2 linked regions of the Solanum lycopersicum genome follow. The protein of the gene in region 2 interacts with the protein of the main gene of each other region in a pairwise test. Links are inferred from orthologs where the notes say so. Each region holds a gene or a part of one and is shown on either strand. Other genes may lie near its edges.

Region 1 (3,828 bases), on a different chromosome or scaffold from region 2:
AGATAGATGTACTTAAACTAACTTGAATCAATTTTATGATCTTACTTATTTCTAATCTTTGTGAAATACTTCAACCGTTCCAGGCAACAAGAAGTTGTAGATAAGAGAAGGAACTTTGTTTCCACTTCTAATGCTCCTCTTAGCATGTATCTTTACTTCATCAAGCATTCTGATCTTAAATAAAACCAAAACAGTGGGGATACATGGTTGTTGTATGTGAATCTGGTGCTATGGTTCTTGAGCAATTGCCCTTTTCTCCTAGGAAGGTGTCAATTCGATGCGATGAGTTCAGGATCGTTCTGGGAAAAATCATCTCCTTCCACTCAAATTCCTTTTTTATTTGCTTTTCCTGTAAGAGGGAGGCTTGTTTTTTTGGTCATATGCATTATTTGCCCTAGTTATTGAATAAAAACATTTTTTTCCCTTTCTGTTCAAACAAATAAGTTCTTTCTACCTAGTATTGAGCAGTGCAGTATCATCCTACAGTTTCTGTGACTGGGGAATAAAAGAGCTCTCTGGACTACTTAGTCTGTCATCCAAACATGTGATGAGATAGTCCAGAATATGATTTCACTTGCAAAATGAAACTTTTAATCAAATCAAATCCCCCTATTATCAGTGATTGGGTAAGTTCTAATATATTTTTCTCTCGTCTTTTTGATGCTCTACCCACAGGCATGAAGCTCCTCAAGTAGAAATCACAAATGCACATGAAACTGGTGTTTGGGATCTTGCGTGGCACCCCATTGGCTATCTCCTTTGCAGGTTATACTGCATTTTCTTGAACTGCAGCTCTGTAGTTATGTGCCATTTATTACACTAGTACTGCTTTCCAGTTGCAGAAAACAATTGTTAGGATTCTTCTCATAACTGGTGTGCTTTTCTTCTGTGCCTTGTCCCATATTTAAATATATTGGTCAATTCATTTTGGGTGTTGCTGGATATTCTTTTGAGGTTTTTCATTTTATTGTTGCTTGGATCTATATGGTGCTGAATTTGCTGCTTTACCATGACAATATAAGCTGAAGCTAATTCCAAAAGCATGTTTAGTATTCACCCTGCAATTCTATGCCCCAGTAAGAACACAGAGCCCCAGTAAGAACACAGAGCATTCCCAAAGTACTCCTTTTCCAATTTTCTAATAGAATACCTTCTGCAAATTCTGTTTGATTTTGCTCTTTTCAGTTTTTTATTTTTATTTTAAACTGGTAATTCTGTGCGTGTGTGTATTATATTATATATTAAAAGAATCAAAACAGTACTTAGGTAGTACTGAAACCATATTTACATTAGAGCTCTCAAATTCTTTTGTCCCCTATCTATAATGAATCTAAAACATCAATGATAGAAATATTATTATTTTAGTATATCTGATTAAACCAAAAACACAAAAGTAGGATGGAGTTCAACTTGATATTTTGCACACCATTCTTTATATTCTCAAAGCATCTTATCTCCTTCCAAATAGTCCACTAAATGCAGGCATGGACAATTCTCCATCTACTCCCATCCTTTGCCCGTAAGCCTGTTTACTCGCAACTTTTTAGAGCTTCTGTGACCTTTTCAGGAATAATTCAGGATGTCTTTTAAGTTACCAAGTTCAAAAAAAATAAATTCAGGATGTCTTTTTGAGGTTTAAAATAATTCTCCATTATTGTGCCGTGAAATTACGATGTAGAAGAAACGGTTAACTGTCTCTGCTGTTTCTTTACGCAAATAACATCTTGAACATAATGGAATCCCTCTTCTCGACAGATTAGCCAGTGTAAGGGCTGCTTCTTTAACTAGTAGCCACACAACATAGACTACTTTGTGAGGGACTTTAGTCTTCCAGGATGTGTTTCCATGTCCAACTGGGTTGGTTGGAGTGATCCATCATTTTGTAAGCTGCATTTGCCTAGAATAGTTTCCTTTCTACCATAATACATCTCCACTTGTCTGTAGCCCAAACTGCTCAATTACACTAAAGAAATCAGCCACTCTTAGCAATTCCCAATCATTGATTTGTCTTCTGAAAATGATGCTCCATCCTTGAAGTGTCCTCATTTCTGCTATAGACCTTTGCTGATGAAGAACTAGTTGAAGATATCTGGAAAGGCCATTTCCAGATTGCTTACCTCATGCCAGTTGTCCTTCTGAAAGTTAATTGTAATCTTATATGTTTATTCTTTCCACATAATGGCTATGGATTTAGATTGTCCCTTCTCGGTTTGCCTTCTATCCACTCTAAGAAGTCTATCAGTCGATGGTTGTGGGGATTAAAGCTTCTGCTGTACTAATTCTTTCTTGAATGTGAAGGTTTCTTTTGTGCGGGCTCTCAACTTTTTCTTTATCCAGTAAATTTATGTTTCCATAAGAAGTCTGCTGCAGATTTAAATCATAGGGTAGATGGTTGTCTGTAGCTTTGTTGTATGCTCATCTCAACTATGGCCCTCACTTTAGTAGCTTCTTTTTCCATGTATGTTGGCTCTAACTCCCTTCTACAGAACTTATCAAGCATATGTACAAATACAATTAGCGATAGTAATAGTTCCTCCATTTTATGTTATTTTGAGATAGTAATAGTTGTGTATATCAAAACCATTACATTTGTGTACTAAAACCATATTTACAAAGGAAGAATACTGTCAGCTGTCCTTGCAAAATCGAGGATTTCTATGATTGAAACTATATCTTCTATGTAAATCTGTTTACACCTAAAACAAAAAGAGTCTAATGCAATTCAATTGATCTTCTGTATTGAATGGCTACTGTCCTCAACATTTCAAGTTCCTCTCTTTCCAGATTGTCCACCAGATGAAACTTGCAAGCTGGTATAGTCTATCTATGTATAGACTTTGTCATTTCATTTAAACCTTTCTTGGCAGGTGACTTTGTGGGTGCTTACTTGCATTTTAAGCCTCATTGTGTTTATGTTGATTCAAATCCTGCACAGCCTCCACAGGCTGGAATAAAATTTGTTCCCTCCCTCTCTATCTTCGTGTGTGTGTGAGGGGAATTGTGTGTTTTGTACTGTAAATTGTATGTCATTGCCTTCTAGCGGCTGGTTCTGGCCTTTCTTGCTGTGTTATTTTGTTTCTTATCCTCCCTAGTACTGTGGATATCCTAAGGCCTTCCCAACTAGGTATTCTGCCAACAGGAATAAAATTTCTCACTTTAAAGCGTACAACTGGAGTAACCTAACCGGGTAACTAATCAGTCTTTTTGCTGGTGCAGCGGTAGTAATGATCAGACAACAAAGTTCTGGTGCAGAAATAGGCCTGGGGACTCCGCTCGTGATAAATTCAATTTAGGACAACAAGGTGTTTACTAATTCCTGTTCATGCAGTTGTTATTTTTATTTTTTTTATGCTATTGTTTTAGTGTACTTCAGATTGTATACAAGTTTATTGTTCATATGTTTAGATAAGGGGGCTGTGGGCTTTGTAGACCTGGGCAAAAATCAGCTTCGTTTTAAAGAAATTTCTTGAAAGATTATCAATTTTTTTTTCATTGGCACGTAATAGTCTTAGTTTGACTATCACGTTGAACTACCAAACTATAGTGCTTAAATAGCCTCAGCACAGGTATTTTGGTTGATTTCAGGTTTGGGTGATCAACACAATGTTCTTGGTCGCATGCCTGGTAATTTTCCAGGTCCTGAGCCCCCATCAACTCCTGGAGCATTTGCCTCTGGTATGTTACGAACGGAGGGTACAATACCTGGAGTTGGAGCTGCAATGCCACTGTCTATCCCGTCACTTGATTCACCTTCTCAAGGAGAACAGAAGACTTCAATGCCTTTAGGAGCTCCTCCCCTTCCTCCTGGTCCACATCCATCGCTTCTTG
Region 2 (3,828 bases):
GTATTTGTTATCCCCAATGTTCACAAAATTTTGTTACTTGATAAAAAAAAAGTTCAACTGAAACTTACTAGCATGGGCTGACACCTCAAGAATTCATGGACATGTTCCTTATTAGATTGGTAAATTTTCATCTCTGTCACATCGTGAGTACCTTGTTGTTACGTTTTCCTCCATCCAACTAGATAAAGTTTTATGGCGAATTGTTTTGTTAGTTCCTTGACTTTGATGTCTTTCTAATCTTCTGCTAGGTTGATGGAGATTTAAATGGAAAACTTGATGAAGGATCAGCTAACCTAATCCTTGATACAACACCCTCTAAAGTTGAATCTTCTGAGTTAACAGTAAGTTTCACTTTGATTTTTGATTTATCTTTTACCCTAATCAGACTCTAGCTAAAGGCTGGAAGGTGAATTTACCTGAAAGCCGCTCTAACATATCAGAGAGTATAATCTTAATTACAATGCAGTGACTAAAGTCTAAACAGTCTCTTCAAAATAAACAACTGACATTAAAATAGATTCATCTAATTTTGGTATCATGCTAGAGCAGGCCTGTTATTTGCTTTTTTAGTTTTCTTCTTATCAAAGTCAAAACCACTTCCCATCTTAGTGTAGAATTCTATGTTGCAATGCAGGGACTAAATAGTCCCTTCAAATTGGACAAATGACAACAGAATAGAGCAACCAAATTCTGTTCCATGCTAGAATACGGCCGTTATTTTCTTATCAAAGTTTAATGCACTTGATGCTCTGCTGTTACCTTTTCAAAAATTGCTTCAGGCCTGCGATGGTTTCGAAATGAGAAGTAAAAGATTATGTTTTTTCTCGAATATCTTGTTGAGCATTGAATTACTCCCTGTCCCAAATTTTTGGGCTTTAGCAATGTTTGGAGAATCACACGGTTTTTTTTTTGACTAAGATTTCTCAATTGTTTTAAAAATTCTCTCGTTATGAAAATTGTGATTTACAGTATTTGGGTATAATTTTATTTCAATGACTTTGAGAAATCAATATCCTAATTCACTCTGTAGCTTAGACAGATTGACACTCATACTTCAAACCCTCACATTATATCAGTGTTATCAAAGGCGCGCTTATGCTCTGAAGCGAGGCTCAAAACGTGTTGAGCGCTTCACCTCGCTTTATGTGCGCTTCAGCGTCATTATCAAGGTTCTAAGGCAAACGTTTCCTTGCCAATGAGCCTCTTATGAAGAAGTGACACTAAATAATTGATATTTCACTTTATCATAATTTATTTTCAATTTCTTTGGACATATATTTGTCATTCATGTTTATAGTTATTAGTCTTTGACTAAATATATATATATTTGTATTCTTTTCTCTCTTTGCGCTTTTTTCATTAAAGCCCACGCTTTATTTGCGCTTAAAGCCCTCATGGACCTTAGAGCTTTATTGTGCTTTTTGCCTTTGATAACACTTCATTATATTGGACGGAGGGGGTATATGATTAGTCCTAGTTGGAAGTCATCTTGACTTTCAATTGATGCATCTTCAAAATCTCTGAATCTGAATTGACTCTTTACTTGCAAAATTGGCTCTTAAAAATGTCGCTTCAGTTGTGGAAATGTTAAATGTCACTTAGATATTGACATGTATTCCAGATATTCTGAAGCTCTAGTTTTGATGATCCATCCTTTGTGGTGTCACAAAGATACAGTTACATCCACTATTTAACCTTAAAAAAGAAGTCCTTTTTAGACAATCTGCCTTACCAGTCATCACCTATCTCAAAAGAATTGGAGCAGTTCGTCATTTTTTTGTCAATACGCTCAGCATTAGACCAACATCAAATTGATTATAGTATCCATGCTATAGCGTCAATTCGGATGGTGTGCTGCTATCTTTTCGTTCTTATATTTATTTTTTTCTGATTGCACTTGCTCATCAGCAAACATTCATGATGTTAATTACTGAATATTTTGATTAGCATCCTTATAATATGTTTTCCTTTCAATTTTCTTGCTCCCTTTTTTTCCTTTCACAGGTCCAAGTCAAGTGTTCCTTGTTATACATGGACTTCGAAGGTCGTTCTGATGGTCGTTCAATCAAATCAATTCTTGCTCATGTTGCGCCCTTAAAGCTTGTATGAAGTTCTTTCCTTAACTGATATTACTAAATATGCTGACTTAATATAAACGGGAATCATGTTTTCTTTCATGCATTTTTACCATCTTTTCATAAGTAGCTATATCAGTAATAACACAATCGTTCTTGTGTGTTTTACAAGATGTTGACAGTTCCATCTCTTGTATGAGGCTCTCATTTTTCTGTGGTAATTAGTATTTAGTTGATAAATTTTGCATCTATGACGGATATTCACACACTTTCAGGCTTTTCTTAATCAACTAGTATTCAAAGGAAAAAATATATTCCTCATGCATGCTCTGAATATATTTTTGGCATAGTTGGATAATAGGCTTTCTTCTAACCTGAAGAATGAATTTCCAGTAATAAAGTGATCTGATTTTTTTTCGATAATGCCAACAGTTAATCTATATATTCACAGGTATACTACATCAAAATATGTAGTCCCCTTTCACAAGTATTACTACAACTTACAACTTGAACACCTATCTATTGTTTTCCTATAAATAATCTACAACATCACAGGTATCTTCTGTTTGATCTAATAGTTTCTGTTTTCACCAAAAATAAAATAGAGCTAAGCAATTCATTTGAAACTTCTGCAAGTTGGTCTGCTTGTCCACCAAATACATGCAGGGAAAATCTACTTCATTTTTTGCTTCCTTGACATCCTTGTTCCAGCAGCTTAACACTCCTTTTATGTTCCCTGGCTTCACCCACCTAATCTTCATCAGACAGACGAACATCTTCCACAGCTGGTCTGTCCACATACAATGTAAAAACAGATGGTTGATTGTCTCAGCTTGTTCCCCACATAGAAAAAATGTAGAGCATAGTTGAAAGTCTCTCTTATCCAAGTTCTCATTTGTCAATGCTGCGTCCTTTACCAGAAGCCAAGTAAGACAGTTCACTTTATAAAGAACTTTTGATTTTCCGGATCATCTTCCATGACCAATCTTCCTCCTGAAATATTTTGGTGATTCATTGGGTTTTCTTAAAAAAAAAGAGGATATTGCATCTTTATACTTGTGGGACCGGAGAATGCTTGTTTTAGTAAAACTGGGGATTCTATTCTTCTGATCTAACACTTCCATAAGCTTAAGGACAGCTAGTTCTGTGTGGTATAGCTTCATCCTTACAAGTTAAATTTTTATTTCTTATCAAAAAGACTTGTGAAACGCTTAACATACATTGGCAGAGAGTTTTGTTTGACATTATTAAACTACTTCAGAAGAAAATTATGTTTGTTTCCTCCAACCCCCACTTTGCCACCTTTAGAGGAAAAAGAAAGGCATTTCTATCCAACCTTTCCCGGTGAGTCAACTAACCTTGCTGGCCTTTGTTCTCAATCTGCTGAGGAAGTGGAAAGCAAAAAAGAAAGAAGACCTATAGCTCACATGTATTAAGTGTTCACTGCTATTGACCAAGCTTTTATCGTAGATGCAAAGGATATCTTTTTCACCTCAGTGCCACTCGTAGCTACTTTTTTACTTAAAGAAGCAAAGGATATCTTTTTCACCAATGTTGTATTGCGAACAATTCGAGTCGAAATTTTTGAAAGTCTCACATAATTGACTTAAATTTCCTGCAAAGACTTTGATTTTAGTTTTTTTATTTTCACTTTAAAGCTAAAATGATGACTGATTATCCTTAGTCTGAAAAATTCTGGAAATGAGGGTTATAGTTGTGGAAGCAATGGTAATAGCGTCTGCAAGGGACTAAT

What was found.
Region 1: the proteins of cleavage and polyadenylation specificity factor subunit 2 (region 2) and flowering time control protein FY interact in binary tests that used the Arabidopsis thaliana proteins (3 or more experiments, as listed by UniProt). The link is inferred for Solanum lycopersicum from reciprocal best matches to the Arabidopsis thaliana genes CPSF100 and FY.

What each region holds. Positions count from the first base shown.
Region 1 is NC_090807.1:57,365,417-57,369,244, forward strand, and holds part of flowering time control protein FY, read left to right. Parts: intron 1-675; coding exon 676-765; intron 766-3,216; coding exon 3,217-3,302; intron 3,303-3,585; coding exon 3,586-3,828.
Region 2 is NC_090802.1:3,729,549-3,733,376, reverse strand, and holds part of cleavage and polyadenylation specificity factor subunit 2, read left to right. Parts: intron 1-248; coding exon 249-341; intron 342-2,004; coding exon 2,005-2,103; intron 2,104-3,828. UniProt on the Arabidopsis thaliana protein: CPSF plays a key role in pre-mRNA 3'-end formation, recognizing the AAUAAA signal sequence and interacting with poly(A)polymerase and other factors to bring about cleavage and poly(A) addition. Required for antisense-RNA-mediated gene silencing.